4 linked regions of the Anolis sagrei genome follow. The main gene of each other region encodes a partner of the protein of the gene in region 2 in a complex. Links are inferred from orthologs where the notes say so. Each region holds a gene or a part of one and is shown on either strand. Other genes may lie near its edges. The genes, in order: PKN1, AKAP13, dual specificity mitogen-activated protein kinase kinase 3-like and MAP3K20.

What was found.
Region 1: AKAP13 (region 2) and PKN1 share a complex: the UniProt entries of both Homo sapiens proteins name them as parts of the signaling complex. The link is inferred for Anolis sagrei from reciprocal best matches to the Homo sapiens genes AKAP13 and PKN1.
Region 3: AKAP13 (region 2) and dual specificity mitogen-activated protein kinase kinase 3-like share a complex: the UniProt entries of both Homo sapiens proteins name them as parts of the signaling complex. The link is inferred for Anolis sagrei from reciprocal best matches to the Homo sapiens genes AKAP13 and MAP2K3.
Region 4: AKAP13 (region 2) and MAP3K20 share a complex: the UniProt entries of both Homo sapiens proteins name them as parts of the signaling complex. The link is inferred for Anolis sagrei from reciprocal best matches to the Homo sapiens genes AKAP13 and MAP3K20.

Annotation. Positions count from the first base shown.
Region 1 is NC_090022.1:128,247,118-128,255,120, forward strand, and holds the start of PKN1 (serine/threonine-protein kinase N1), read left to right. Parts: upstream 1-4,936; 5' UTR 4,937-4,996; coding exon 4,997-5,041; intron 5,042-8,003. UniProt on the Homo sapiens protein: PKC-related serine/threonine-protein kinase involved in various processes such as regulation of the intermediate filaments of the actin cytoskeleton, cell migration, tumor cell invasion and transcription regulation.
Region 2 is NC_090029.1:22,068,449-22,075,743, forward strand, and holds the start of AKAP13 (A-kinase anchor protein 13), read right to left. Parts: upstream 3,063-7,295; 5' UTR 2,892-3,062; intron 1-2,891. UniProt on the Homo sapiens protein: Scaffold protein that plays an important role in assembling signaling complexes downstream of several types of G protein-coupled receptors.
Region 3 is NC_090035.1:3,667,897-3,675,437, forward strand, and holds the start of dual specificity mitogen-activated protein kinase kinase 3-like, read left to right. Parts: upstream 1-4,460; 5' UTR 4,461-4,572; coding exon 4,573-4,588; intron 4,589-7,541. UniProt on the Homo sapiens protein: Dual specificity kinase. Is activated by cytokines and environmental stress in vivo. Catalyzes the concomitant phosphorylation of a threonine and a tyrosine residue in the MAP kinase p38.
Region 4 is NC_090021.1:192,978,690-192,986,248, reverse strand, and holds the start of MAP3K20 (mitogen-activated protein kinase kinase kinase 20), read left to right. Parts: upstream 1-4,490; 5' UTR 4,491-4,677; intron 4,678-7,559. UniProt on the Homo sapiens protein: Stress-activated component of a protein kinase signal transduction cascade that promotes programmed cell death in response to various stress, such as ribosomal stress, osmotic shock and ionizing radiation.

The sequences.
Region 1 (8,003 bases), on a different chromosome or scaffold from region 2:
GAGTAGATCAATAGGTATTGCTTCTTCAGGAAAGTAATGGCGCTCCATGCAGTTATGCTGGCCCCATGACCTTAGAAGTGTCTATGGAGAATGCCGGCTCATCAGCTTAGAAATAGAGAGGAGCACCAACCCCTAGAGTCAGACACGACTGGACTTAATGTCAAGGGGAAACCTTTACTTTAACCTTTTCACAACAATGACAGGGATCAATTGTGGGATTCATGAATTAGAAGAGTGTTTCCAAAATTAGAAGTGTGATCATATTATTTTGTAAAGGAAGTAGAGCAATAAAAAATAACAACCATCAAATAGAGAGTGGAAAGTTGTAGTTTGGGATTTTAAAAAGAATAGTTGTTTAATAGCAGTTTAGGTATAGTCGTTGTATAGTTTTTATTTTGCTTGTCAAGAGTCCTCTCTTATTCACCTAGTCCAGGTCCCTTCTTGCCTTTGGAGTCGACTAATTCTCTTTAAATAACACTATGTAACAAAATTTGAAAAAAAATGTTACTGCTTTAAAAGTGTTACTTCTGTTTAATTATTCAGTACTTACTTTGAAAATAGCGGTTATACCCCAGAAACTTCAGTTTTGTGGCTACTACAAACTATGTTGAATTGCTTGAGACTCAGTGAGATATTCATTGAAAAACTAAAAGCTTTTCCCATGTTTTTATGATAGAACCAATTAGGAAATGACATTTATAACTGAGGAGCAAAAATCATGTTACATAGTGTAATAATTTTGAAAATCAACAAGTAGTAGTGTGAAAAATGGGCAGTGGAGAGCATGTGTTCAACTTCCCTTGTATACATCATCTCGACCTTCAGGCAGGGATTCAGTGACTGTCCCAGACACATAGCTTTTCTTTTAAGTCCAAGGCATATGAAAAAAGCACAAGGCAGAGTGGACCAAAGCTTTAGTTTTCTGCTGCATAGTGTCGTCTTCAAATGTGCATCTGCAGCAACAGCAAAATAGATCCCCGCTTTTTCTGGTCTCTGTGTGGTCGTAAGCTCTGCAGTATTATGTTAGGGGCAGTGCTGAAGGAAGTGGCGTGAGTCAGCAACCGCTCCGTTTCCTGCATTGCATCAAGAGGTGTCCAGAGCAAGTACTGAGGCTGTTGAGACTGTGACCTGGACTGATTCCAGGCAGAGTTGAGTGAGGTAGCAGGACATGTACACATCAGACTGCAACAAGGCTGAGCTGAAAGAGCCATACCGGTAGTTCCTTTTATTCCCTGCCATATTTCCATAGGATATTTAAACGTGGCCTATTGGGATGCACCTCAGAAAGGTATCTCTGCTTTACCTTTGTGACAGTAATCCAGAGCTTTCCTTTTACTTAATGGTGTCACATGACTTCAGCAGTTTTTCTGCCACTGCGACCAAGATAGCTGTAAATTCTATATTCACTTTGTAGTATAATTAATTGTTTTTATTAAAACATGCTTAAAGTGAGTGTGATTTTTTAAAGCAGTGACATAGGGCCCCAATCTGGAATGGACTCCTGAACTGGATTGGGGCTCTGGATCAATGCCACATTAAAGATCCATTCCTCCAGCTGCTCTCTGTCTGTGCTGTATTTACCACTGTTGGGGGACGATTTTCACCAGGGAGTTGTGCCACATTCAAGGGCCTGCACAGGGTTTATTTCCTTCCAAATAAGAGCACAGGTGGAGGATAACATATTAGAGTCTCTCATCAGTCCCTTTGGGATATGGAAAGGCACTTCAGAGAGGAAATGAGCCTGTGTTTTTTTTCCTGACACTGTAGGAGGACATCTCATACGTGTCTATTTAATTAAAAAGTATATGTGGTAGTTCCCATCCTTCTATTTTGTCACCATCCCCACCACTATCAAAGCCCATTTGCTAGTAGAATATTTTGAATGATGCATGGTCTTCCTCAAGATCCCAAATCTAGGTGTATTTTTACTTGGGCAAGAGGTGCAGCTACATCTGGGATGCAGATGAGGAATTGGTATTTTATGTAGGCCCATGCTTTGTCTTTTTCTACTGAATAGTCCTTAACAGTGGCCTTTTAAAAAGCCATACAATTTTAAATGTGAACCCATCTTTTTACAATGTTGTTTGGGGGTTGTTATTCTATTGTGAGATTACCCATCAAGAATCAATGTATTGAACTAAACTTTATCCTTGCTCAAAACTGAGCTAGGAGCTTCTATGTTGGAAATTGAAAACTTACAGGGGAAGTTCCTAATGACTTAGTTACAAAGAAGAAGAAGAAGTCATTCTGTACTGCTTCTGCAGAATTGGATTAATGTATATATGTGACTAAGCATCAAGCTATTTTTTGTTTAAAATGTACCCTAAAAACCTGTGTTATCTTATCAATGGGCTTCTGTAGGAGTTGAATTAGGGTGCTTCCAGACATTACAAAAATACGGGTTTAAATGGGAATTAAAAAATGCCAGAACCTGACTGCAGATTCCCACACAGACCTGTTAGTCCTGGTACTGTTTCCCCTGCCTTCTTCACGGCCATCCTCTGTATCAGAACAAGATGGAGAGGGACAGAAGGGTTTTTTAAAAAAATTACTCCATTATGCGCTGGACCGTACATGCAATTATGTGCCCGTGCAAATATCTTAATATAAATATAAGCAGATTTGTATGTGTGTATATGAGGTTTATCACATAACAAAACCCCTTCTGTCAGATTTCTCCCTTCCTCCAATTGTTTTTTCAAGCTCTGTTTAACATTTCAAAGTTTGAAATAAAGAGTTTTAGAGGGTTCTAATTGCTCTCAGTTCATGCTTCCTTTATAGCAGCTGTGTATCCATTTCACAGCTCAATGCACTGATCAGCTGTTTCGGGCTTTTTAAAAGTGGACATGTGAAACAGGGAAGACAGAAAGAAAGTACGTGTTTTTCGCAAGTGCAGGGATATACAGTAATGCGAATATCTGCATTTGCCGGCCAGTATTGGTATAAAAGAGGGCCTTTCTAACCTGTATTTTTAGTCTGTTGCAATGAATCGGTGCTGATTTACATGTAGTCTCATGTAGCCACCCCCTTTTAACCCAGTAAATGCCGTGTTTAAGGTGCTGTGTAGAAGGGCCCTTAGTGGCAGTCTGTTAAGACAAGGCAACAGCCTCAAAGATTGTTAGGCATGGTCAGCTACAGAAGTAAGTGACCAAAAAGGTATCTTGTTTTGCAATACCTTTGTTCTCAGAATGTTTTTCATCTTTTACTAAGTGCCTTTATCTGAATGCTCAAGCAAGTTACAAAGTACTGGTAGCCATTTCATCTGCATAAATTACAATATGACACATCAAGGGGGTTGCATTTCTAAATTTACCATTTAAATAGGAAACCGTGGATTGAACCCTATTAAAATTAATGATTGCCAATGGAACTTACCATGGAGACACCCTAGAGCAATGGTTCTCAACCTGTGGGTCCCCAGGTGTGTTGGCCTACAACTTCCAGAGAACATAGCCAGTTCCCCAGCTGTTAGGATTTCTGGGAGTTGAAGGCAAAAACATCTGGGGATCCACAGGTTGAGAACCACTGCCCTAGAGGATCTAGAAAATTCCTAGAGAGGGCATATTTTGTTGGCGGCAGACAAAACCCCAAGAAGTGGTCCTGCAGATATATGTCGTTTTGTAGTTCCATTACTTGCAGGATATTAAATATCAGCCTTTGCTTATACTGTAACTATGCTCCTGTTCTTACTTTATCTGGCCAGTATTGTAAGGATCTCACTTTCACATATTGTTGGCATTTTTCTTACCATCATCATCAGCACCATCACCACAACTTTTGTTTCTACCCCACACTTTCCTCAAAACCAGCACTCAAGGCAGCTTACAAATGAAAACAAATACAGCATAGCTACAATCTTAAAAAACAACAACAATGTGAAACAAAACTATTAACCACACTAAAAACAATTGAAAAGATGCAATTAAAATGTTAAAAGCAATGCAACAGCAGTACGGTTCAAACAGTACAATGCCCTCTTAAAAGCCCTTCTTTTTGAAACCTTTAATTTTCAAACACCTGCCAGAATAGAAGAGGATTTACCTGCCAACAAAAGGACTGCCAGGAGGGGCCCATTTTAGGAAGGTGAGGGGGGGGGGGGTCAAAAGAAGAGGCTCACTTCAGGATCTCAGGACCTGGACAGGCTCATACGGAAGATACAGTCTGCCAGCTGGCCTGAGTCTAAGGCACCCATCTTCTAGTACTCCTTTTCTCCTGTCTTATAACTAGTAAAGAGAAAAATACATTTCTTCTTCTAACACATTATTCTTTGCTCATTCTCTCTGAATCCAATCCAGTAGAGTACACATCGGCTCACATATCACACACACACCATTTCAGCACTTCTTAACTATCTTGCACTCCTGATCTTCTTCTGGCAAAAAGGTTCTTTGCTTCTCCGGAAATCACTCACACATATACTTGTTTAATACCCCAAATTTTTCAGAACAAAGTTTTTTTTGTTTGCTTGCATGTTTAGTAGTTTTGGCAATAGCCCGCCCCTCTTGTACAGTCTAATGCAATTAAATCTGACACACGTGTTCTGTAAAACCTAGGTTCTGCAATGTAAGTGTTATAAATGGCAGCTTCATCATCATGTCCCAACTATCTGTTACTCTTTTGTGTTACTTCCAGCTGAATGAAGTTCTGGTGGACTCAACAGTTGTACAGTATATTATTATGTTTCGATTGGTCCAAATAAAAGTATTTCCCTTCTGTAATGTTTAGATTTGGTTTCCCCTTTCAAATTCACTCTGGAGGTTGAAGGGATGGCGTTTGGAAAGTCAGCAGGGGGCACATAGGCCCCGTGGTTGCTCCCTTCAGTTAGCCTGGGTTCCGGTATTGCCAGCAAATGCAGGAACTCTGTAAGGAAGTGGTTTGTTTGCACACAGGCCAAAAGAACGGTTTGAATCTACAGGCAGGAAATGAGGGTGTAGCCGGCACGCAGTTGGGAGCAGAAGGGACTGGCGATCGCTGCTGAGCCTCTCCACGGGCCAGGATGTCTTTCTCGGAGCCTGATACAAATTCTGAGCATGAGTTGGAGGTACTGCCTTTTGGAAGGGATTCATAGCAGAGGGCTGTGCTATTAACTGCCCCTCCCTCCCTCTTGAACAGTTGGTGGGGGGGGGGGCAATGTGCAGAAAACAATCTTATGATACATCATAAATCAATACGGCTGTAAAGTGGGCCTGAATCCTAGTCTAAATGGATAATTATATTTGGAGGAATATGTGTGAAATCTGGATGCTTGCATTTAATTCCATTTGTGGTTTTAGAATTGGGTTGCCTTATCAACATGTTGCAACTTACCCTTATGTGCAGTTGTCTGTATACATAGGAGATGCCTGTTCACAATCCCCTGGGCATTGTAGAGAGCAATCAGGAAAAAAAACTACAAGGCATATGCAACAGTAAACAAAGGTAGGCAGCTGTTTTTCCCTACAAGGCATAAGCATGGTAATGATAATGGTAATGGACAGTTTGTTGGACTACACACACACATATAAACACACACGTTTTTCAGTTCCAGCATGGAAAAATGAAGATTGTTGTTGTTGTTGTTACATTGATGGTCTTATTATTTGTTGCTTTTGTGTGCCTTCAAGTTGTTTCTGACATATGGTGACACTAAGGCAAACCTATCAGGGCATTTTCTTGGTGAGATTTGTTCAGCAGAGAGGGAGATGCCATTGCCTTCTCCTTAGGCCAGTGGTTCTCAACTTGTGGGTCTCCAGATGTTTTGGCCTTCAACTCCCAGAAATCCTAACAGCTGATAAACTGGCTAGGATTTCTGGGAGTTGTAGGCCAAAATACCTGGGGACCCACAGGTTGAGAACCACTGCCTTAGGCAGAGAAAGTGTGACTTGGTCATCCAGTAATATTGGACTAGAACCATCAGTCCAATATGCAGACTTCAACCATATTGACTGTCCTGGATTAATTAGACTTTGAAGGCTTACATTTTTTTATTGGTATGTGCTTACATGTATGTCTATTTTAATTGTTGCAAGCTCCCTAAGTTCCAGTAGTGGGATGGGTGAGAAACAAGATATAAATAAACTAACATAATTAATATTTCTCCATTTGCTACTCTCCCCTTTAATTATGTGCCATCCTCCCCTTTAATTAATAGAGTCCACCAAGTGGCATGATGCTGGCAAGACATTCAGCAGAAGCATGGGTAACCACACAGCCCATGGAAGAGGCCTCTGCAGTGGTTGCATGTTGCCCATACAGTATGTAATGCACAAGAAGGAGCACTTCTGGAACATATGTGGGCAACATGCTGTCTGGATCTGCAAAAACAGTGCCTCTCTGTAAATGCTGGAAGCATCAGCAGTGTGAACAGTAGATGATGTGTCTGTGGAGGAAGGGATGTCATGTCATATGAGTTGGGGAAAGGAGACACTGCGTTACTGACTATGAGGCATTTGAGACCCCAAACAAGAGAGCACCCTAGGGCACAGGCCTGTCATCTTGCTTAAGTTACGCCTGTGAAGCGTATGGTGGTATATATGCCGCAGTCATAATTTTCAAAGGACTCTTTTGAAATCCTTAATTTTGTTTGTCCTTGCAGGAACTCTGTTCGTAGTTGCTATTAATACACACTTTACAACTGAAGCCCCTGCATTGGGTTCAGCTTGGGACAAAGACCTACTCAAGTCTCAACAAGGATCTGATAGGTTTAGGCTGTGGCCTTCGTTATATATATTGAAAGCACACTGGGCTGTAAATGAAATATAGCACCGCCTCACTATTATTGCCCAAAGATCTTGGCCACATTCAGACATAGCATCACATCCACTGTGGCAGGAAACAATTTCAGCAAATCTCAGGCTCACATATCCTGGTCTTTTTCTGATATGGTTGTGAGTAGGAGAACCAAAGCTCTTACACCTGGTTTAAATCAACTACATCACAAACTGTGCTTAATGCTAACTACGGTATAAGTTGACTTCTTTAAACAGCGATAGTTCATTCCCACATTCCTGGTATATCAACACATTTCTGGATTAATGTCTTTCTCTGCCCACTCCATCTTTTCCAAAAGGCATATCCATGCAATGGCTGGCAGTCTAAAAGCATTAAATAGTATTCAGCATTTGTATAGTGCCTTATAGTGTTGACATTGTTTTTAAAATATTATGAATTATTCTTATAATGTCTGTACAAGATAGGTAAATATTATTTTATCGAAACTCACATTGGTGGCTGAGATAATAATGGTTTGTCTAAGTCTACCAAGTGGGCCAGGCTGACTGATTTTAAATAAACATAATTCATATATTTTATGTAAATTGTCAAAGGGGGGAACTGTTTAAAACAGTGTCATTAAAACACTAATTTTAAACACTTCACCGTTTTGCAATGAATATAGGAAGTACTCAGCAAAAATGTTTGATCTCAAGTGTGTGGCTCAGCTCTTGGTGAATTAGACATGTGCTCAGCCATCCTTCCTGTGCAGAAGATGTGGAAGTGGGGATGGGTGTGGGAGGAATTATCCAGTTCCCTAAGGGTGGCAGGGGGAGGGAGAGAGGTTGTGGGATGCTTGGTAACTTTGTGGCCTAGGCACAAAGAGAACTCCCCATTTGTCCAAAATGTTGGCGCCATGCTTGGTTTGGGGTAAGAAAGAAGGATTCAGAAACAGATACAACATCATATTTCAGATGAACAGATCTTTTTGCCAGCTTATTCCACTGACCTTCCTTCACATCCAAACACAGAAATCAGAAACTATATTGCATGGATTATCCTGATTTTGGTGTTAAATAATATATCTTTGCATCTGAGATTTTAGTCAGATTCTGTCATAACTGCTATTCTAAGTTCTAGTCTTCGTGTGATTGCTTGACTACAGTTTCCATTCCAATTAATGATTGAGCCAAGGTATTAAAAATACTTAACACTTTCAGTGTTTTCATCACCCACTTCAAAGTTATTTAAATAATCTTTGGCCATTCTTTTAATGTTTTCTCTTAATATTCAGCTGCAAATCTGCTTTTGCA
Region 2 (7,295 bases):
CCTGGAAATAACTTGGCACACAGAACTCCCATGACCAACACAAAATACTGGAGGTCTTTGGAGGGATTTAGGAGTTGTAGTTCACCTACATCAGTGGTTCTCAACCTGGGGGTCCCCAGACGTTTTTGGCCTACAACTCCCAGAAATCTCAGCTGGTTTATCAGCTGTAAGGATTTCTGGGAGTTGAAGGCCAAAAACATCTGGGGACCCCAAGTTGAGAACTACTGACCTACATCCAAAGCACGCTAATTTGATTACTAGAAGGGTTTGGGGGGAAACTGACCTTCCTTTCTGGGAGTTGTAGTACATTCACAACCAGAGAAACTGTGATCTCCACAGATGATTGACCTGGACCAAACTTGGCACATAGAACCCCCATGACTAACTCAACCTGCTGGAGAGGTTTGAGGGGACTGACTCACCATAGAAACCCCATGACCAGCAAAAATACTGGAGGTCTTTGGGGAAAATTCACCTTGTTTTGGGGGAGTTGTAGTTCACCTACATCCAGAGAGTATTGTGAACCCAAACACCAATGGATTTGGACCAAACTTGCCACACATACCTGATATGCTGAAGTTTGATTACTGGAGGGGTTTGGGGGGAACTAACCTTCCTTTCTGGGAGTTGTAGTTCACCCGCAGCAGAAAAATTGTGACCTCCCCTGAAGATGGACCTGGACAAAACTTGGCACGTAGAACCCGCATGACTAACTCAACCTACTGGAGGGGTCTGAGGGGACTGACTCACCATAGTGGGAGTTGTAGTTTGCCCTACCACCAGAAAGCACACTGAACCCGACTGATGATGCATCTAGAGCAAACTTGCCCTACATAACAAACTTTAAGAACTGATGGAGTTTCTCGAGGTTAACCTGGCATGATGTGAGTTGTGGTTCACCCACAACCATATGCATTTTGTACAATTTAGGGGCTCCCGGTGGCGCAAAGGGTTAAACCTTGTGCCAGTAGGGCTGCTGACCGACAGGCCAGTGGTTCGAATCCGGGGAGAAGAGGTTGAGCTCCCTCTGTGAGCTCCAGCTCTCCATGCGGGAACGTGAGAGAAGCCTTCCACAAGGATGGTAAAACATCAAAAAAACATCCGGGAACGTTGTTGCAGGCGACCAATTCTCACACACCAGAAGCGACTTGTAGTTTCTCAAGTCGCTCCTGACACAAACACACGCATTTATCTCACACCAGAAGTGACTTTTAGTTCCTTTTATATATATATATATATATATATATTCATTTTACCAAAAGTAACATAAAACCACAATACACATACTGAAAAGAAACAGAACCAAATAAAAAGTAAGAGAGGGGGAGAAAAAGAAAAGAAAAAAAATATGAATAAAAATAAAAATAAAATAAAGTTGACTTCCGTTCTTCCTCCTTTCACCCCAATAATAAAGAAAAACTTTCTTCGATAGTCCCAACAAAAATTATAATTTTCCCTCAGTCTTTGTCAAAAATCCTCTTATTTACCATGTTTATTAATATAGTCTTCAAAAACCATCCAATCCATCATTTTTATTCCCTTTCCGTTGCTTGATTTTAGCAGAAATGTCAGTTTATCCAAGTCCTTAATTTACATTATTTTGTCCAACCATTGGGTCTTAGAGGGAAATAACTCCATTTTCCAAAACTTAGCAAAAGTCATTCTCACCACAGTCACAAAAAAGTGAACCATTTATCAACATTTAAATCTTTAAATAACTCAAGTTGCTCCTGACACAAAAGACACAATTTTCTCTCACACCAGAAGTGACTTGTAGTTTCTCAAGTTGCTCCTGACACAAATACACACAATTTTTTTTAAAAAATGACTTTTTCAAATATTCCCAAATAAATAAATAGATCAAATCGACTTTTCCAAATAATCCCAAATAAATAAATAGATGAAATCAACTTTTTCAAATAATCCCAAATAAATAAATAGATAAAATGAACTTTTTCAAATAATCCCAAATAAATAAATAAATAAAATCAACTTTTTCAAATAATCCCAAATAAATAAATAAATAAATAAAATCAACTTTTTCAAATAATCCCAAATAAATAAATAAATAAATAAAATCAACTTTTTTCAAATAATTCCAAATAAATAGATAAATAAAATCAACTTTTTTCAAATAATCCCAAATAAATAAATAGATAAAATCAACTTTTTTCAAATAATCCCAAATAAATAAATAAATAAAATCAACTTTTTCAAATAATCCCAAACTGGTCGTAACTTTGCATAAACCAAACAAAAACTCAACGTAAACAAATAGTACACAACCAACGCAAACCTTGAGAGCACAAAGTCTCAGGACTCTAAACCACTGCCAAATAATCCAGATTGTTTCGAACTGGATTATAGGAGTCTACACTGCCATATAGTCAGATAACCTGGATTTTATATGGCAATGTAGATGGGGGCTAAGGCTGACCACCCACAAGGGTCTGTGTACACCAGGCCTGGGCCTCCTGGTGCTTTGGACTCCAACTCCCATCATTCCTAACTTTGGACTCCAACTCCCATCATTCCTAACAGCCTCAGGCCCTTTCCTTTTGCCCCTCAGCCGCTTAAGCGGCTGAGGGGCAAAAGGAAAGGGCCTGAGGCTGTTAGGAATGATGGGAGTTGGAGTCCAAAGTTAGGAATGATGGGATTTGGAGTCCAAAGCACCTGGAGGGCCCAAGTTAGCCCATACCTGCTCTAACTGACCATACAATGCAATTTCACACTATTTCCAATGCTCACAACTTCAGAAAAGTTTGCAAAACTCAGCCCTTGGAGATGGAAAACCTCCCCACACTTTCCTCCTTCCAAGGCTCTCCTTCCAATGAGAAAAAAGGAACTTTTGGGGACACAAAGGAGAAAAAGAAAAAGGCACTCTTGCTCACCGCCACGCGTGACTCCAGAGACACTGAGGAAAAGGAGAAGGAGGAGGAAGCCAAGGGGGAAATGGCCGCTGGCCCAGGATTCCTCCTCTTCTTCTTCCTCTCCTTTTTCTTCTTCTTCTGCCTGTTGCTCGCCTTGCACCGACGGGGACGCGAGCGCGCGCCCGAGGAGGAGGGAGCGCGCGCTGCCCCCTCCAAACGACGCCTGCGCAGAACAGCGCCTTCCAAACTCGGAAAGAGTGGGGAAACTTTTTTCTTTGGGGCTTCGTTGAGCTCCCACGCTTCGGATCCAGGGGTTCCCGTGAGCGCCACCTACTGAGCGAATGGGAGGAGGACACTTTGCAAACAAAGGGATGCTTAGAGGGTCTGGGCACTAGGAAGTTGAGGCAGTTTGGGACACAGTTTGGGTACATCTATACTGTGGAACTGATGCAGTTTGCACCATTTTGGGTGTATCTGCACTCTGGAATTGATGCAGTTTGGCATCACTTTGGGTGCATCTATATTTTGGAATCAATGCAGTTTGGCACCACTTTGGGTGCATCTATACTGTGAAACTGATGTAATTTGGCACCACTTTGGGTGTATTTATACTTTGGAAGGGATGCAGTTTGGGAGTGCTTTGAGTGCATCTATACCTTGGAATCGATGCAGTTTGGCACCACTTTGGGTGCAACTACACTGTGGAATAGATGCACTTTGGGTGCGTCTATACTGTGGAACTGATGCAATTGGGCACCACTTTGGGTGCATCATTCTACACTGTGAAACCGATGCAGTTCGGCACCACTTTGGGTACATCTGCACTCTGGAATTGATGCAGTTTGGCACCACTTTGGGTGCATCTACACTGTAGAACTGATGCAGTCTGCACCACTTGGGGTGCATCTGCACTGGGGAACTGATGCAGTTTGGCACCACTTTGGGTGCATCTATACTGGGGAACTGATGCAGTTTGACATCACTTTGGGTGCATCTATACTGTGAAACTGATGTAATTTGGCACCACTTTGGGTGTATTTATACTTTGGAATTGATGTAGTTTGGGATTGCTTTGAGTGCATCTATACTTTGGAATCGATGCAGTTTGGCACCACTTTGGGTGCATCTATACTGTAGAACTGATACAGTTTGGCATCACTTTGGTTGCATCTATACTGGGGAACTGATGCAGTTTGGCACCACTTTGGTTGCATCTTATACTGGGGAACTGATGCAGTTTGGCACCACTTTGGGTGTATCTACACTCTGGAATTGATGCAGTTTGGCATCATTCTACACCAGGGGTCCTCAAACTATGGCCCGGGGGCCAGATGCGACCCTCCAAGATAATTTACCCAGCCCTCGCTCAGGGTGAACCTAAGTCTGTGGTGACTCAAAAGCACACAACAACAACAACAATCTTATCTCATCAGCCAAAAGTAGGCCGACACTTCCCACTGAAATACGAATAAGTTTATTTTTGTTAATATTGTTCTTCATGTTAATTAATGTATTGTTTTTTTATAGTTATTTGCACTACAAATAAAATACGTATGTTCATGTTTGTTTTTTCAAATTATAATCTGGCCCTCTGACAGTTTGAGGGACTGTGACCTGGCCCTCTCTTTAAAAAGTTTGAGGACCCCTGTTCTACACTGTGAAATCGATGTAGTTTGGCACCACTTTGGGTGCATCTATACTGTGGAACGGATGCAGTTTGGCACCACTTTGGGTGGATCTACACTGTAGAACTGATGCAGTTTGGTGCCATTTTGGGTGCATCTATAGTGGGGAATTGATGGAGTTTGCACCACTTTGTATGTATCTAGACTATGGAATAAATGCAATTTGGCACCACTTTGGGTGCATCTACACTGAGGAATAGATGCAGTTTGGCACCACTTTGGGTGCATCTATACTGTGGAACTGATGCACTTCGGTAGCACTTTGAGTGCATCTATACCAGGCATGCGCAAACCGGCCCCCCATGTGTTTTGGACTCCAACTCCCACAATCTCCAAGGGGAGGAGCTTGAGGCTGTTAGGAATTGTGGGAATCAGAGTCCAAAACACCTGGAAGGCTGAAGTTTGACCGTGCCTAATCAACACTGGAATCAATGCAGTTTGGTCCCACCTTGGGTGCATGTAGGCTGTGGAATTGATGCAGTTTGGCACCACTTTGGGTACAGCTGTACTGTGGAACTGATGCAGTTTGCACTACTTTGGGTGCATCTTTATTGTGGAATTGATGTAGTTTGACACCACTTTGGGTTACTTTCAAAAATTCAACAACTCCCATGGTTCTATTGAATCCAGCTATGGCACTTAAAGTGGTGTCAAACTGCATTAATTCTACATTGTAGATGCTCCCGCTGTTTGGGCACAGCTGATGCCATGCTATGAGATCAAACCAATAGGAAGAGCAATAGAAAAAAACAGATTTCTTGTCTGTTTAATAGGGAGGTAGAGCTAATTAGAAATAGTTTGAGCCAACTAAATATAGAGATTTTGATTTGGACAGATAAGAACAGATTAAGTAAGAAGAGGGAACTGGAATTCTGAATAGCATATGGGATGCTGAGCGGACAGAAAGAGTTGAAGGAGTTCACTTTGTTCGAGAAGGAGTGTTTCAGCGCACTGTGTGCGGAACCAGCATAAAGCTAGGTGTTTATCTTGGCCGGAATCCAGTATTAGCTTATGCTTAACTAAGGACTTAACTGTTTCATATTCATGGTTGCTACTTTAGGGCACGCCCACACAGGCCAAATGGCTGCAGGTTAATGAGTAAAACCAGAGGTGTATCTATGAGAAGGGGTACAAGGGGGACATTGCTATCTCAAAAAGAATGTGGCCCCAACATTTTCCTGCAGCTCCCACATATCTAACATCAAGAGGCTGGTTCTACATCAGCGTTTCTCAACCTAAAATTTGGGACCGGGGGGGTGGTCTCAAAGGGGTCATCAAAGACCATCAGAAATAACAGTATTTTCTTTTGGTCATGGGGGTTCTGTGTGGGAAGTCTGGCCCAATTCTACCATTGGTGGGGTTCAGAATGCTCTTTGATTGTAGGTGAACTATAAATCCCAGCAATTACAACTCTCCAATGTCAAGGTCTACTTTCCTCAAACTCCACCAGTGTTCATATTTGGGCATATTGATTATTCGTGCCAAGTTTGGTCCAGATACATCATTGTTTGAGTCCACAGTGTGCTCTGGATGTTGGTGAACTACAACTCCAAAACTCAAGGTCAGTGCACACCAAACCCTTCCAGTATTTTCTGTTGGTCGGGGAAGTTCTGTGTGCCAAGTTCCGTTCAATTCCATCACTGGTGGAGTTTGGAATACTCTTTAATTGTACGTGAACTATACATCCCAACAAATACAACTTCCAGATGTCAAGGTCTATTTTCCCAAAGTCCACCATTGTTCACATTTGGGCTTATTTCTTATTCGAGCCAAGTTTGGTCCAGATTGCTCTTTGATTGTAGGTGAACTATAAATCCTAGCAACTACAACTCCCAAATGTCAAGTCTATTTCTCCCAAAATCCACCAGTGTTCACATTTGTGCATATTGAGTATTCATGCCAAGTTTGGTCCAAAGCCATAATTGTTTGAGCCCACAGTGCTCTCTGGATGCAGGTGAACTACAACTCCAAAACTCAAGGTCAACTTTTCCAGTATTTTCTGTTGGTCATGCGAGTTCTGTGTGCCAGGTGTGGTTCAATTGCATCCTTGGTGGAGTTCAGAATGCTCTTTGATTGTAGGTTAACTATAAATCCCAGCAACTACAGCTCCCAAATGACAAAATCAATCCCCCCCAACCCCACCAGTGTTCAAATTTGGGTGTATTGGGTATTTGTGCCAAATTTGGTCCAGTGAATGAAAATACATCCTGCATATCAGATATTTACATTACAATTCATAATAGCTGCAAAATTACAGTTATGAAGTAGCAACGAAAATATTTTTTGTGATTGGGGTCAGCATAACATGAGGAACTGTATTAAGGGTTCACGGCATTAGGAAGGTTGAGAAACACTGTTGAACATTATACAGTCAGTGTAAGATGCATTATATTGTCAGCACAGAACCATATAATGCTGCTCACTCTGCATTATATGGATACACACTAACCATTGTTCAATGCGGTGTAAAACTTAAAGTGAAACCATGAAAGCTACCACACTTAAGAGAAGTCTTCTATAAACATATTTCAGTTAACTAGGACCACATCTACAATGCCATATAATGCTGTTTCGAAGTGCATTATATGGTTAGTGGAAACTCATATAATGGAGTTTTTCTGCATTATATGAGTCTATACCAGGTATGGGCAAACTTGGGCCCTCCAGGTGATTTGGACTCCAACTCCCATCATTCTTAACAGCCTCGGGCCTCTTCCTTAATTGGCTCAGGAGGAAAGGA
Region 3 (7,541 bases), on a different chromosome or scaffold from region 2:
TGCTAATAAAGGAGCCCAGTTGCAGAGAGTGTTCAAGGATCGGGACATCCATAGGGAGACTAAGGTGCTTGTTTGTAAAGCTGTAAAAGGCCTCAAACCCTCCCATAACATCATTTCTCACGCACCTGCTTCTCCTCTCCTTATTTCCAATTCCTTGGAAATAAGTTGCATACAGTGTCTCTGAAGTTCCAGTTGCCTTGACCTAGACAAACATTGACCTAGACAAATGTCACTCTGAGTCACCTTCGGGCTGATATGGGCGGGGTAGAAATTGAGTAAACAAATAAATAAATAAATAAATTCATCTCCCACGTTTCTCTCCGTCTGTACTTCTGGCAGGTTCTCATGAGAACGGATATCTGTTGCTTGGCAGAATGGGGTTGGACTGGATGGCCCATGAGGTCTCTTCCAACTCTATGATTCTATTATTTCCCCCAGGCAGGAAGCAGCCAGGCTTTGAAGCTACGAGGCTATTAAATGCTAATAAAGGAGGCCAATTGCAACATTTCCACTGGCCTCCAGCAGACAAGAGTTCTTTCCTCCACCTTGGACATCATTCCACAGCTATATGAACCTCACTTGCCTAGTTACCAACAGACTTCACAACCTCTGAGGATGCCTGTCACAGATGTGGGCGAAATGTCAGGAGAGAATGCTTCTGGAACATGGCCAGGCAGTCTGGAAAACTCACAACAACCCAGTGATTCCGGCTATGGAAGCCTTTGACAACACATACCTATCCTGCCAAACATAGCTTCGCATCCTTTGGCACACCGTGGGTAGATCAGGATTTTTTCATTCCCGATTTCAGGGCAAATCGCATTGTATAAACAGTACAGCCAAGGCGTGTCAAGGGCACCACAAATTCCCCCCTACACACGGGCAGGAACCTTTGCGAAATCACATTCCATCGGCAGAGCAAGGCATGTGCCATCGGAGGAGGAACTCGTCGGTTTTGCCCACAAGGACCAGAGCTAAGCATGGCATTCCAATCCTAGGTGAAGCACTCCAGGTTTTGGATCACAACTCCCATCACAGTCACTTCTCTGGAAATCTGAACCATGCCATGATTTAGAAGCTTACGAGAAGCTCAGCCTGTCATTGAACATCGGGAAAACCAAAGTGCTCTTCCAGCAGTCACCGGCAAATCCCTCTCCAATGACAGAAATACAGCTTAATGGTGTAACATTAGACAATGTTGACCATTTCCGCTCCCTTGGCAGCCACCTCTCCACCAAAATCAACATCGACACCGAAATACAACACCATCTGAGCTCTGCGAGTGCAGCATTCTTGCAAATGAAGCAGAGAGTGTTTGAGGACCGGGACATCAGTAGGGAGACCAAGGAGCTTGTTTACAAAGCTATTGTCCTCCCAACCCTGCTATATGCCTGCGAGACGTGGACTGTCTACAGACATCAACATTGAGACTGAAATACAACACCGCCTAAGCTCTGCAAGTGCAGCATTCTTGCGAATGAAGCAGAGAGTGTTTGAGGACCGGGACATCCGTAGGGATACCAAGAAGCTTGTTTACAAAGCTATTGTCCTCCCAACCCTGCTATATGCCTGTGAGATGTGGACTGTCTACAGACGTCAACATTGAGACTGAAATACAACACCGCCTGAGCTCTGCGAATGCAGCATCCTTCTGAATGAAGCAGAGAGTGTTTGAGGACTGGGACATCCGTAGGGAGACCAAGGTGATTGTTTACAAAGCTATTGTCCTCCCAACCCTGCTAAATGCCTGCGAAATGTGGACTGTCTACAGACGTCACATGCAACTCCTGGTACGATTCCATCAGCGCTTGCCTCCAAAAAACTCCTGCAAGTGCAGTATTTTTCCAAATGAAGCAGAGAGTGTTTGAGGACCAGGACATCCGTAGGGATACCAAGGGGTTTGTTTATAGAGCTATTGTCCTCCCAACCCTGCTATACGCCTGCGAGACGTGGACTGCCTACAGAGGTCACATGCAACTCCTGGAATGATTCCATCAGCGCTTGCCTCCAAAAAACTCCTGTAAGTGCAGCATTCTTCTGAATGAAGCAGAGAGTGTTTGAGGACTGGGACATCCGTAGGGAGACCAAGGTGATTGTTTGAAAGCTGTTGTCCTTCCAACCCTGCTATATGCCTGCGAAACGTGGACTGTCCACAGATGTCACATGCAACTCCTGGAATGATTCCATCAGCATTGCCTCCAAAAAACTCCTGCAAGTGCAGAATTTTTCCGAATGAAGCAGAGAGTGTTTGAGGACCAGGACATCCGTAGGGAGACCAAAGTGATTGTTTACAAAGCTATTGTCCTCCCAACCCTGCTATATGCCTGCGAAACGTGGACTGTCTACAGACGTCAACACCGCCTGAGCTCTGCAAGTGCAGCATTCTTCTGAATGAAGCAGAGAGTGTTTGAGGACCGGGATATCCGTAGGGAGACCAAGGTGATTGTTTACAAAGCTATTGTCCTCCCAACCCTGCTATACGCTTGCGAGACGTGGAGTGTCTATAGACGTCACATGCAACTCCTGGTACGATTCCATCAGCATTGCCCCCAAAAAACTCCTGCAAGTGCAGCATTTTTCTGAATGAAGCAGATAGTGTTTGAGGACCGGGACATCCGTAGGGAGACCAAGGGGCTTGTTTATAAAGCTATTGTCCTCCCAACCCTGCTATATGCCTGCGAAACGTGGACTGTCTATAGACGTCACATGCAACTCCTAATACGATTCCATCAGTGCTTGCCTCCAAAAAACTCCTGCAAGTGCAGCATTTTTCTGAATGAAGCAGAGAGTGTTTGAGGACCGGGACATCCGTAGGGAGACCAAGGAGCTTGTTTACAAAGCTATTGTCCTCCCAACTCTGCTATACGCTTGCGAAACGTGGACTGTCTACAGATGTCACATGCAACTCCTGGAACCATTCCATCAGCGCTGCCTCCGGAAAATCCTGCAAAAAGGGAAGGAAGGAAGGAAGGAAGGAAGGAAGGAAGGAGGAAGAGAGAGAAAAGAAGAAGAGAAATAAAAACAAAGGAAGAATGGAGAGAAGAAGGAAAGAAAGAAAGAAAGAAAAAGAATGAAAAAATTGAATGAAAAAAAGAAAGAGAAAAAAAGGAAGACAAAAAGAGAAAAAACTAACAAAGGAAGAATGGAAAGAAAGAAAGAAAAAGAGTATCAGAAAGAAAGAGAGAGAGAGAGAGAGAAAAGGAAGAAAGGAAAGAAAGAGAAGGAGAAAAAAGAAAAGAAAACAGAAAAAGGGAGAAGGAAGAAAAGGAAAGAAAAAGAAGAAAGGAAGGAAAGAAAGAGAATTAGAAAAATGTAAGGAAAAAAAGAAAGAAAGAAAGGAAGGAAGAAAAGAAACAAAGAAAGAGAAAGAGAAAAAGGAAGGAATAAGGAAGGAAAAAGAAAAAAGGAAGGAAAGAAAGAAAGAAAAAGAGAAAAAAATGAAGAAAGGAAGGAAAGAAAAAGAACAGAAAAAGAAAAAGGAAGGAAGGAAAGAAAAAAGAACAGAAATTAAGAAAGAAAAAAGAAAGAAGGAAGGAAGGAAGGAAGTACGAAAAGAAAGAAAGAAAGAAGAAAGAGAAAAAAGGAAGGAAGGAAAGAAAAAGGAAGGAACGAAAGAGAATGAGAAAAAAGGAAGGAAGGAAGAAAACGAAGAAAGAAAGAGAGAGAAAAAAGGAAAGAAAGAAAGAAAAAGAAGAAGGAAGGAAGAAATAAAGAAAGAGAGAGATAAAAGATAGGAAGAAAAGGAAGAAAGAAACAAACAAAGAAAGACAAAGAGAAAAAGGAAGGAAGGAAAGAAAAAGAAAAAAGGAAGAAGAGAAAGTGAATGAAAAAAAAGGAAGGAAGGAAGGAAAGAGAGAAACAAAGAAAGAGAAAGAAAAAAGGAAGGAAGGAAGAAAAGAAAGAAAGAAAGAAAGAGAAAGAGAAAAAAAGAAAGCAAGAAAAAAGAAAGAAAGAAAAAGAAAAAGGAAGAAAAGAAAGAAAGATAAAAAGGAAGGAAGAAAAGAAAGAAGCAAAGAAAGAAAGAGAAAAGGGAAAGAAAGAAAAAAGAAAGAAAAAGAAAAAGGAAGGAAAGAAAGAGAAAAAAGGAAGGAAGAAAAGAAAGAAAGAAAGAAAGAAAGAAAGAGAAAGAGAAAAAGGAGGGAAGGAAGAAAGAAAGAGAAAGAAAAACGAAGGTAGGAAAGGGAGAAAGAAAGAAAAAGAAGGAAGCAAGGAAAGAAAGAAAGAAACAAACACCAGGTAGGCAGGAAGGGGGCGTGCCTCCAGGTGCGACTCCACCCCTCTGGTCACGTGGGCGATGGTCCCATGGCACCTCCTTCCAGGTAGCCCAGGATTCCAGACAGGCCACGCCCATTGGGGGGCCTGGCAGCCAATGGGAGCGCGGTGCGGCCAGGTGGGCGGGGTCCAGGTGTGTGCTGGGGCTTCCACCCTGCCAGTGCCCAGGTGAGGCTGGTGGAGTGAGAGAGCCTTTCTTCCTTCCTTCCCTCTTGTTTTCTTATTGGGATCTAACTGGATCTAAGGCGGATCAGGACCTGCGAGTGGACGGCTCCCAGCCAAGGGAGAACGCTCCCAGACATGTCCCTCCCGAAAGGTAAGAAGGGCCAGGTAACTTCCAGGGAAGGGGATGGTGGGATTGGCAGTCTCCCCAGCCTTTAGAAGAAGGCTGTGGTGTTTTTAAGCCTATATTTTGCTTGTATTTAGAATCATAAGAGATGGAAGGGAACCCTAAAGGTCATCTAGGCCAACTCCCTTCTCCTAGGTAGGAGAAGCACCATCAAAGCCTTCCAGACAGATGACCATCCAGCCCTTGCTAGATAATAATAATAATAATAATAATAATAATAACTATAATTATAATTATTATATCCTAACGTTGGAAGAGACCCCCTAAAGGTCATCTAATCCAACTCCTCTCTGCCTTCCTGCAGGAAAAGAACCACCAAAGCCGTCCCAACAGATGGCCATCTGGCCCCAGCTTTATTATTGTTGTTGTTGTTGTTGTTATTATTATTATTATTATTATTATGTGTTATGGAATCATAAGAGTTGGAATGGACTCCTAAAGGTCATCTTGTCCAACTCAGAAAAGAACCACCAAAGCTGTCCCGACAGATGGCCATCTGGCCCCAGCTTTATTATTATTATTGTTGTTGTTGTTGTTGTTGTTATTATTATTATTATTATTATTATTATTATTATTATTATTATGTGTTATGGAATCATAAGAGTTGGAAGGGGCCCCTAAAGGTCATCTAGTCCAACTCGCCTCGGCTAAGTAGGAGAAGCACCATCAAAGCCCTCCCAGCAGATAGACATCCAGCCCCTGCCAGATAATAATAATAACAACAACAACTATTATTATTATTATTATTATTATTATTATTATTATTATAGTATCCTAGGGTTGGAAGAGGCCCCTAAAGGCCATCTAGTCCAACCCTTTGCCCGGCAGGAGAAGCACCATCAAAGCCCTCCCAACAGATGGCCATCCAGCCTCTGCCAGATAACAACAACAACAACAACTATTATTATTATTATTATTATTATTATTATTATTATTATTATTATTGTATCCTAGGGTTGGAAGAGGCCCCTAAAGGTCATCTAGTCCAACTCTTTGCCAGGCAGGAGAAGCACAATTAAAACCCTCCCAACAGATGACCATCCAGCCACAGCTAGACAATTGTTGTTATTATTATTATCATTATTATTACTATAGTATCCTAGAGTTGGAAGAGGTCCCTAAAAGCCATCCAACCCTTTGCCAAGTAGGAAAAGCACTACCAAAGCCCTCCCTACAGATGGTCATCCAACCCCTGCTAGATAATAATAATAATAATAATAATAATAATAGAAGGTTCCTAGAGTTGGAAAAGACCCCTAAAGGTCATCTAGTCCAACTCTTTGCCAGGCAGGAGAAGCACCATTAAAACCCTCCCGACAGATGACCATCCAGCCCCAGCTCGATAATTGTTGTTATTATTATTATTATTATTATTATTGTATCCTAGGGTTGGAAGAGGTCCCTAAAGGCCATCTAGTCCAACCCTTTGCCAAGTAGGAAAAGCACTACCAAAGCCCTCCCGACAGATGGTCATCCAACCCCTGCTAGATACTACTACTACTAATAATAATAATAACTATTATTATAGAATCCTAGAGTTGAAGAGACCCCTAAGGACCATCTCTCTTCTAACTCAAGGATATAATAATAATAATAATAATAATAATAATAATAATAATAATAACTATTATTATAGAATCCTAGAGTTGGAAGAGACCCTAAGGACCATCTAGTCCAACTTCCTTCTGCCTTCACGCAGGCAAAGCACAATCAAAGCCCTCCCGACAGATGGCCATCCAGCCTCCAAAGAGGAAGCCTCCACTAGACTCCACTGCTGAAAAAGCTCTCCTTATGGTTAAACAATGACATTTTGTAGAACAAGTTTGACTTCCGTGTTGTGATCTTAATTATGGATTTGCACCATAACAAAAGGCGGTCCTTGCCGGCACGGCTGGCTTCAAGCCAAGGTGGGAGTGGATTGCAACTCCCATTATCCACAAAAGCTTCCAGGTTGACACGATTGTTAGAAAAAGCCTGCCAGATCCAGGCGCGGCTTCCTCTTCCACTTCCTCTCTTCGGTTTCGGTACCTGTTCTTCCCAAATATTGCCTTACGTTGCACCAAGGCTGCAAAACATTCTTTTGTCGTTGTTGTTAGGAGATGATGCATGCACCAAATGTTTGCTTCGTGCATACTTTCTTAGTAACATGCTCTGGTATGATCAAAAGCCCAACATGTGATGGATATGCCGAGTGACTGATGGCAATATAGTATATGGTTCATGGTTAGGAATGGTGGGAGTTGAAGTCCAAAACACCTGGAGGGGCCAAGCTTGCCCATACCTGTGATAGAGTCTGGGATATTTGCAAAGTTTTGCAAAGTTTGGCAAAGTTTTGCAAAGTTTTGCACGCCTTCTCTGCAAGAGAGAGGGATGGTGCCTCAGCAGACTACAACTCCCAAGGATTCATCCTATTGAGCCTCACTGTGGGACATAATTGTGCTCTTTTTTTCTGTTTTGCAAGCTGCAGAAAGGCAGTTGTGCGTCATAGACGTCAGGCTCTCTCGGCCACCTTTCTCGGGGCGTGTGGCGGTTGTGTCATGCTTTGTGTTTGTGATTGCTTACTCACCTTCACGGTAGAAACTTGCGTGGCGTTGACTGCTTTCCAAAGCATTTCCACCTCCTGAATCTTTCAAGAAGCAATTTATTTACTTCCAAGGGGTTGCAACTCCCAGAATCCTTTGAGCCCGGAGCTTTGCAAAGTGTTCATGTTGGGGACGTGCTTTTTAAACATGCCAAAAGCGGGAATTCGGTTTTACTAGCAAAGCATGGGCAAACTACAGCTCTCCAGGTGTTTTGGAAATACAACTCCCACAAAGTTTGCCCGTGCCTGAGTTAAACCAACACCTTATATTAATGTGTGTAGATAGATAGATAGATAGATAGATAGATAGATAGATAGATAGATAGATAGATAGTGTTG
Region 4 (7,559 bases), on a different chromosome or scaffold from region 2:
TTTGTTGCATGCCTTCAAGTTGTTTACAATTTATGGTAACCTGTCTATGGTATTTTCTGCTCTTCCAGACAGACCCTATATTCCAGGATCTGATCCCTAGTTTTCTGTTTATCCCAGATTATCTGGCAGTGCAGACTCATATCCAGTTTAAAGCAGAAAACCTGGGATCAGATCCAAGGAAAATGGGATAAAACAAAAACCAAACATTCAGAACTATTCTTACATTATATCATCACATGTGGGGCTTAAAAGCCTGTCTGGAAGGGTCCCTAGTCTCCAGAGTCATGTTCTGACACTCAAACCACAACACCATACTCCTTAATTTTTCTTTTAATATATTTTATTATATCACACAAAATTTAGACTTTTGTTCTCCTGATAGCACAAAATGTTGTTCTCTTAAAGTTTTGTTTGTGACATTGAGAAAGAATGAGAGAAGGTCATGGAGACGAAGGGCTACTACAAGTTGAACATCCTTTACCTGGAAGTCTAAAATCCTGAAAGGTTTTAAGCATGTATTCTTACTATAGGTTGAACATCCCTGATCTAGATGCTCCAAAACCCAAAACTGTCCACATAGGTGGTTGAGATAGTGCCACCTTTGCATTCTGCTGGTTCGGTGCATCTACATTGTAGAATGAATACAGTTTGACATCACTTAGTGCCATGGCTTAGTGCTATGAAATACTGAAAGCTGCATTTTTACAAGGTCTTTAACCTTCTCTACGAAAAAGTGCTAATTACCCACCAGACTACAACTTCCAAGATTCCATCATGTTGAGCCAAGGCAGTTAAAGTGCTGTCAAATCTCAATTCATTCTACAGTGTATATGCACCAAAGGTGCACATAAATGCACATAATATTTGTGTTTAGACTTGAGTTCCATCTCCAAGCTATCTCATGATGTTGCTTTGCTTTTGCTTTAGGCGATCCCTTGTAGCCCGAGGATGATGGTCCTCCAAGACTGGTATGTATAGGCAGATACCTACACAGATATTCCAAAATACGAAAAAAAAAAACCCAATGTCTTTGATCTTATGTATTTTATAGTTTCATCTGAGTGTTTTTATTGTGTTGCTCAATGCCTTGAATTGTGAAAAGAGTTGGGTACAAGCAAAAACAATGAAGATGAAACACAAATGAAATTCATGTTTAGACTTGGGTCCTATCTCCAAACTGTCTCATGCTGTGTGTATCAGAAAATACCTGTATGGGCATTTCAAAATACAACAGCAGCAGCAGCAGCAACAACAACACCCAAACAGTTTTGTTTATACGATCTTTCACCTTCTCTGCCACAGAGTACTCATCCAATTCCTTGTATTGAACCATAGCAGTTAAAGTGTCGTAACCTTTATTAATTATGGCATCCATGGTGTCAGGCATGTAGCCGGGGGGGGGGGGCTCGGGGGGCTTCAGCCCCACCTGAAATTCTCATGGTGGTTCGCGAAAAGGCCTTACTGGTGCATTATTTACACTGTTATGTTTATTCATATCATGATCTGATCACCATACTCAGTATATCCCATATGCATGGGGGTATTGGGGTAATGATACAAAAGGTTTGCTAGGGCAGACCCTCTTTCACTCAGACTCAGCCCCCCCCCAAACTCAGCCCCCCCCCCGAAACCCCCCCTGAAAAAATTTCAGCCCCCCCCCCCCCCCCCGAAACGAAATCCTGGCTACGGGCCTGCAAGGTGTATATGAAACACAAATTAATGTCATGTTTAAGCTTTGGATCCCGTTTGCATGCTATTTGCTGATGTAGGATATCCTCTTCATTCTGGAAAGAAGTGACCAGTAGAGTGCTGCGGTGTTCAGTTCTGGGCCCAGTACTGTCCAACATCTTTATTAATGACTTGGATGAAGGTTTAGAGGGCATGCTTATCAAGTTTGCAGACAACATCAAATTGGGAGAATAGCTAATTGAATTCTGCTCCAGAGGACAGGAGCAGAATTCAAAATGATCTTTACAGATTAGAGAACTGATTGGCACAAACTAACAAAACAATTTTCAACAAGGACAAATGTAAGATACTACACTTAGTTAGAAAAAAAATGTAATGCAAAGATATAGGATGGGTGATACCTGGCTGGACAACAGTCCATGTGAAAAAGATCTTGGAGTCTTCGTGGACAACAAGTTAGATATGAGCCAACAGTGTGATGCAGCAACTAAAAAAGCCAATGCTTTGAGCTGCAAAAAAAGGAGTATAGTGTCTAGAACAGTGGCTTCCAATCTATGGTCCGTGGACTACCAGTGGTCCACAAGAACAAAAATATGGTCTCCGGCCTCGCCATTTCTACACCATTGCCTCCAAACCGCATGACAGTGAGAGCCACTGGTTTCATGAAAACCTCTTATAGTGCTGAGGCAACAGGGATGTTGGGAGGGGAGAGGCAGACTACCCACGAAAAATTACTACTACATTATTACTACATCACCTGTAGATTATTAAATATAATTTTCTATGGGCAAGCAGTTGGCAACTGTTGGATAGCATATGTTCTGTACCAGAAACTAGAGCTGATGTGGTCTATCCAATGCCATTTTCTGAATCAGCACCTCTTTTGGTACTAATGTTGGGGAGTGGTCCCTGATAAAAAAAAAAAAAGGTTGAGGACCACTGGTCTAGATCAAGTTCTGCCAACCTAGCAGTTTGAAAACATGCAATTGTGAGTAGATCAGTAGGTACTGCTCTGGTGGGAAGGTAACAGCGCTCCATGCAGTCATGCTGGCCACATGACCTTGGAGGTGTGTCTACAGACAATGCCGGCTCTTCAGCTTAGGAACGGAGATGAGCACCACCCCCCAGAGTTGGACACGACTGGACTTAATGGCAGGGGAAAATCTTTACCTTAAGGGTTAGGATAAGGTTTAGGGCAGGGGTCTTCAAACTTTTTAAACAGAGGGCCAGGTCACAGTCCCTCAAACTGTTGGAGGGCCAGATTATAATTTGAAAAAAACATGAATGAATTCCTATGCACACTGCACATATCTTATTTGTAATGCAAAACACTTAAAAACAATATAATAATTAAAATGAAGAACATGTTTAACAAATATAAACTTATTAGTATTTGAATGGGAAGTGTGGGCCTGCTTTTGGCTGATGAGATAGGATTCAAGAGAGATATTGACAAGCTGGAATGTGTCCAGAGGAGGGCGACTAAAATGATCAAGGGTCTGGAGAACAAGCCCTATGAGGAGCGGCTTAGGGAACTGGGCATGTTTAGCCTGAAGAAGAGAAGGCTGAGAGGAGATATGATAGCCATGAATAAATATGTGAGAGGAAGACACAGGGAGGAGGGAGCAAGCTTGTTTTCTGCTTCCTTGGAGACTAGGACGCGGAACAATGGCTTCAAACTACAAGAGAGGAGATTCCATCTGAACATTAGGAAGAACTTCCTGACTGTGAGAGCCGTTCAGCAGTGGAACTCTCTGCCCCGGAGTGTGGTGGAGGCTCCTTCTTTGGAAGCTTTTAAGCAGAGGCTGGATGGCCATCTGTCAGGGGTGATTTGAATGCAATATTCCTGCTTCTTGGCAGGGGGTTGGACTGGATGGCCCATGAGGTCTCTTCCAACTCTTTGATTCTATGATTCTATGATTGTTGTTGTTGTTGTGTGCTTCCAAGTCATTTCAGACTTAGGCTGACCCTGAGTGAGGGCCGGGTAAATGACCTTGGAGGGCCATATGCGGTCCCTGGGCCTTAGTTTGAGGACCCCTGGTTTAGGGTTTGGGTTAGGACAAGGATTTGGGTAAGGGGTTAAGCTTAGGCTTATGGTTCAGGTTTAGGGTTTCCCCATTAAAGAACTCTTACATTCCTTCTATTTTTTCTGCCTCCAGCTTGGCTTACACTAGCTAAGTCTCTCTTGCACAAATAGTGCTCCAGAAGGAGTGATGCAGCATCTCCGTAACACTCGGAGTTTCGGACCCAGCTATCATACTATTACCCCAAAACACCTGAAGGGCCAAAGTTCGCCCATGCCTGGTGTACATGATAGACTGAATGACAGCACTTCAATAGCCATGACTCAATGCTAGGGGGTGGTGAGAGTTGGAAGAATCCTAGAGTTGGAAGAGACTTTATGGGCTATCCAGTCCAACCCCCTGCCAAGAAGCAGGAAAATCGCATTCAAAGCACCCCCGACAGATGGCCATCCAGCCTCTGTTTAAGGAGCCTCCTCACACTCCGGGGCAGAGAGTTCCACTGCTGAACAGCTCTCACAGTCAGGAAGTTCTTCCTAATGTCCAGATGGAACCTCCTTTCTTGTAGTTGCATTTTCCCAAGATCTGTCGCCTCCCTTGCCCAAGAGTGCGGGTGCCTCCTCAGACTACAACCCCCATGACTCCATAGCAATGAGCCAGGGGCAGTTCAAGCGGTGGGAACCGCATTAATTCTCCAGTGGAGACACGCGGGGGAGGAAGGGAGGAAGGAGGGAGAGAGGGAGGGAGGGAGGGAGGCGGGCAGGCGGGCGCGGGGTGGTGCTGCTGCTGCGCCTGGCCGCGCCAAGGCTGGCCTCCTTTGACATCCACCGGAAGCGTGGCAGCAACTCCCTCACTCCCACGGAGAGGCACCTCCACGCCCCACGCCGCCCGCCAGAAGAGGGCTGGCTTCCCCGGCTGTGGGGAGCTTCACACTCGCGCCTCTGGCACGGCGGGCACTTCCAGGAAGGTAAGGCTACAAAGTGGCGGGCGCAGAGCTGGGAAGTGTTTCTGTGGGAGAGCGAGAGGGGGCTCTGGGGAGGGCGTGCTTGTGGATATGTGTGTGGGAATGCCCCCCTGGCTCAGCCCCCTTCCCTCGCTCACCAGGGAGGGCCTTTATGTAAGTTTTTGGACAAGTTAAGAGGGACGTTTCCCCTCCTTCGAGCACAAGAGCAGCACACCACCCACACCGCCAAAGTTGTGGCGTCGACTGGGAAAGAAAGGCACTCCACTAGGCCTTGCTGCTGCCGGCAGTTTGGGAATTCAGGTCTACCTGAGCAACCCCGCCCCATCCGAGGCAGAAGCGGGTGATTAAAGACCTGGGCTTCTGGCATTTTTTGTCCCCATGATGCAGCCTCACAGAGAGCTCTCTGGGAATCGTTGCCTTGTTCCTTTTCCCTCTGCTTTCCTATCTTTCCCAAACTCTAGTGCAGTGCTTCTCAACCTTCGTAATGCCACGACCCCTTAATACAGTTCCTCATGTTGTGGTGACCCCCCCCCCCCAACCATAACATATTCGTTGCTACTTCACAACTGTAATTTTGCTACTGTTATGAATCGTCATGTAAATGTCTGAAATGCAGGATGTATTTTCATTCACTGGACCAAATTTGGCATAAATACCTGATATGCCCAAATTTGAATACTGGTTGGGTTGGAAGCATTGGTTTTGTCATTTGGGAGTTGTACTTGCTGGGATTTATAGTTCACCTACAATCACAGAGCATTCTGAACTCCACCAACAATGGAATTGAACTAATCTTGGCACACAGAACTCCCATGAACAGAAAATACTGGAAGGGTTTGATGGGCATTGACATTGAGTTTTGGAGTTGTAGTTCACCTACATCCAGAGAGCACTGAACCAAACTTGGCATGGATACTCAGTATGTCCAAGTGTGAATACTGGTGGTGTTTGGGGGAAATAGACTTTACCATTTGGGAGTTGTAGTTGCTGGGATTTATAGTTCACCTACAATCAAAGAGCATTCTGAACTCCACCAACAATGGAATTGAACCAATCTTGGCACAGAAAACTCCCATGAACAGAAAATACTGGAAGGGTTTGATGGGCATTGAGCTTGAGTTTTGGAGTTGTAATTCACCTACATCCAGAGAGCACTGTGGACTCAAACAATGATGGTTCTGGACCAAACTTGGCATGGATACTCAGTATGTCCAAATGTGAATACTGGTGGAGTTTGGGGAAAACAGACCTTGACATTTGGGAGTTGTAGTTGCTGGGATTTATAGTTCACCTACAATCAAAGAACATTATGAACCCCACCAACGATAGAACTGGGCCAAACTTCCCACACAGAACCCCCATGACCAACAGAAGATACTGTGTTTTCTGATTGTCTTTGGTGACCCCTCTGACACCCCTTTGCGACCCCCCAGGGTTCCCGACCCCCAGGTTGAGAAACACTGCTCCACTGCAGCTCATAGAAGCCCTGATCATTTCCTCAGGCAGGTGAGGTTTCTGGGAGTTGCGGGTCCCAAACACATGGAGAACTAGAGTTTGGGATTACGGCTCAGGGCAGGCATGGACAAACTTCGGCCCTCCCAATGTTTTGGTTCTAGAAAATGGCATTCATAACCATTTGGAGATCATAACCTTTTGGAAAAGCCGTGGTCTTTCAGAGAAGAGCCAAAAACCCATCTGAGTATAATCTTCTCAAGTGGTACACAACCAGAATTTTTTTATCATGTCAGAAAGGACTTGAGAACACACTGCAAGTTGCTTCTGGTGTGAGGCAATTGGCCTTCTACAGAGACATTGCTCAGGGGACTCCTGGATGTGTTACCGTCCTGCTGGGAGGCTCCTCTCATGACAGATGGGAGCTCACACCATCTCACAGATTCAAACCGGCAATCTTCAGATCACCAACTCAAGCTTCAGATCAGCAGTCCAGCCAACACAAGGGTTTAACCCAGTGGTTCTCAACCTATGGGTTCCCAGGTGTTTTGGCCTAGAGCTTCCAGAAATCCCAGCCAGTTTACCAGTTGTTAGGACTTCTGGGAATTGAAGGCCAAAACATCTGGGGACCCACAGGTTGAGAACCACTGGTTTAACCCATTCTGCCACAACCAGATATAGTTATGCAAGTCAATTTGGCTTTCAGTTGTTATTAATAACCTGTTGTTAATCGGAAATGGAATATGCCAGTGCAAGTGTTTTTCAGTTGCCCCAAAATTCATCTACTCTCCCATAAAACAATTTTTTATATAATGCACTCAAGAGACAAAATTGAAGTAGATTTTGTTAAAAATAGCATAACCACATGAAGTTGTGGTTTACTCACAACTTAATGTGTTCAGCATACACAGGTACACAACTTACAAGTCCAGTTGCAGGTATGTTTGAGACAGTTGCTCTGGGCACATGGCATCTTTCTTAAAATCAACAGCAGGCAAATGTTGGTCTGAATATTTCCAAAGTCTAATGGAGTCTGTGCTCTGTGTTCATCTCAGAGCCTAATTAAGTGGTCTGCAGCTGCTCCCACAACTTCTCAAGAAAAACATAGAGCAAGGAAAGAAAGCTGCATATAGAATCATATAGTTGAAAGATGCCTCGTGGGTCATCCAGTCCAATCTCCTGCCACGAAGCAGGAAAATCACGTTCAAAGTACTCCCAACAAATTGCCATCCAGCCTCTGTTTAAAAGCCTCTAAAGAAGGAGCCTCCACCACATTCTGGGGCAGAGAGTTCCACTTCTGAACAGCTCTCACAGTTAGGAAGTTCTTCCTAATGTTCAGGTGGAATCTCCTTTCCTGTAGTTTGAAGTCATTCTTCCATGTCCTAGTCTCCAGGGCAGTAGAAAACAAGCTTGCTCCCTCCTCCCTATGACTT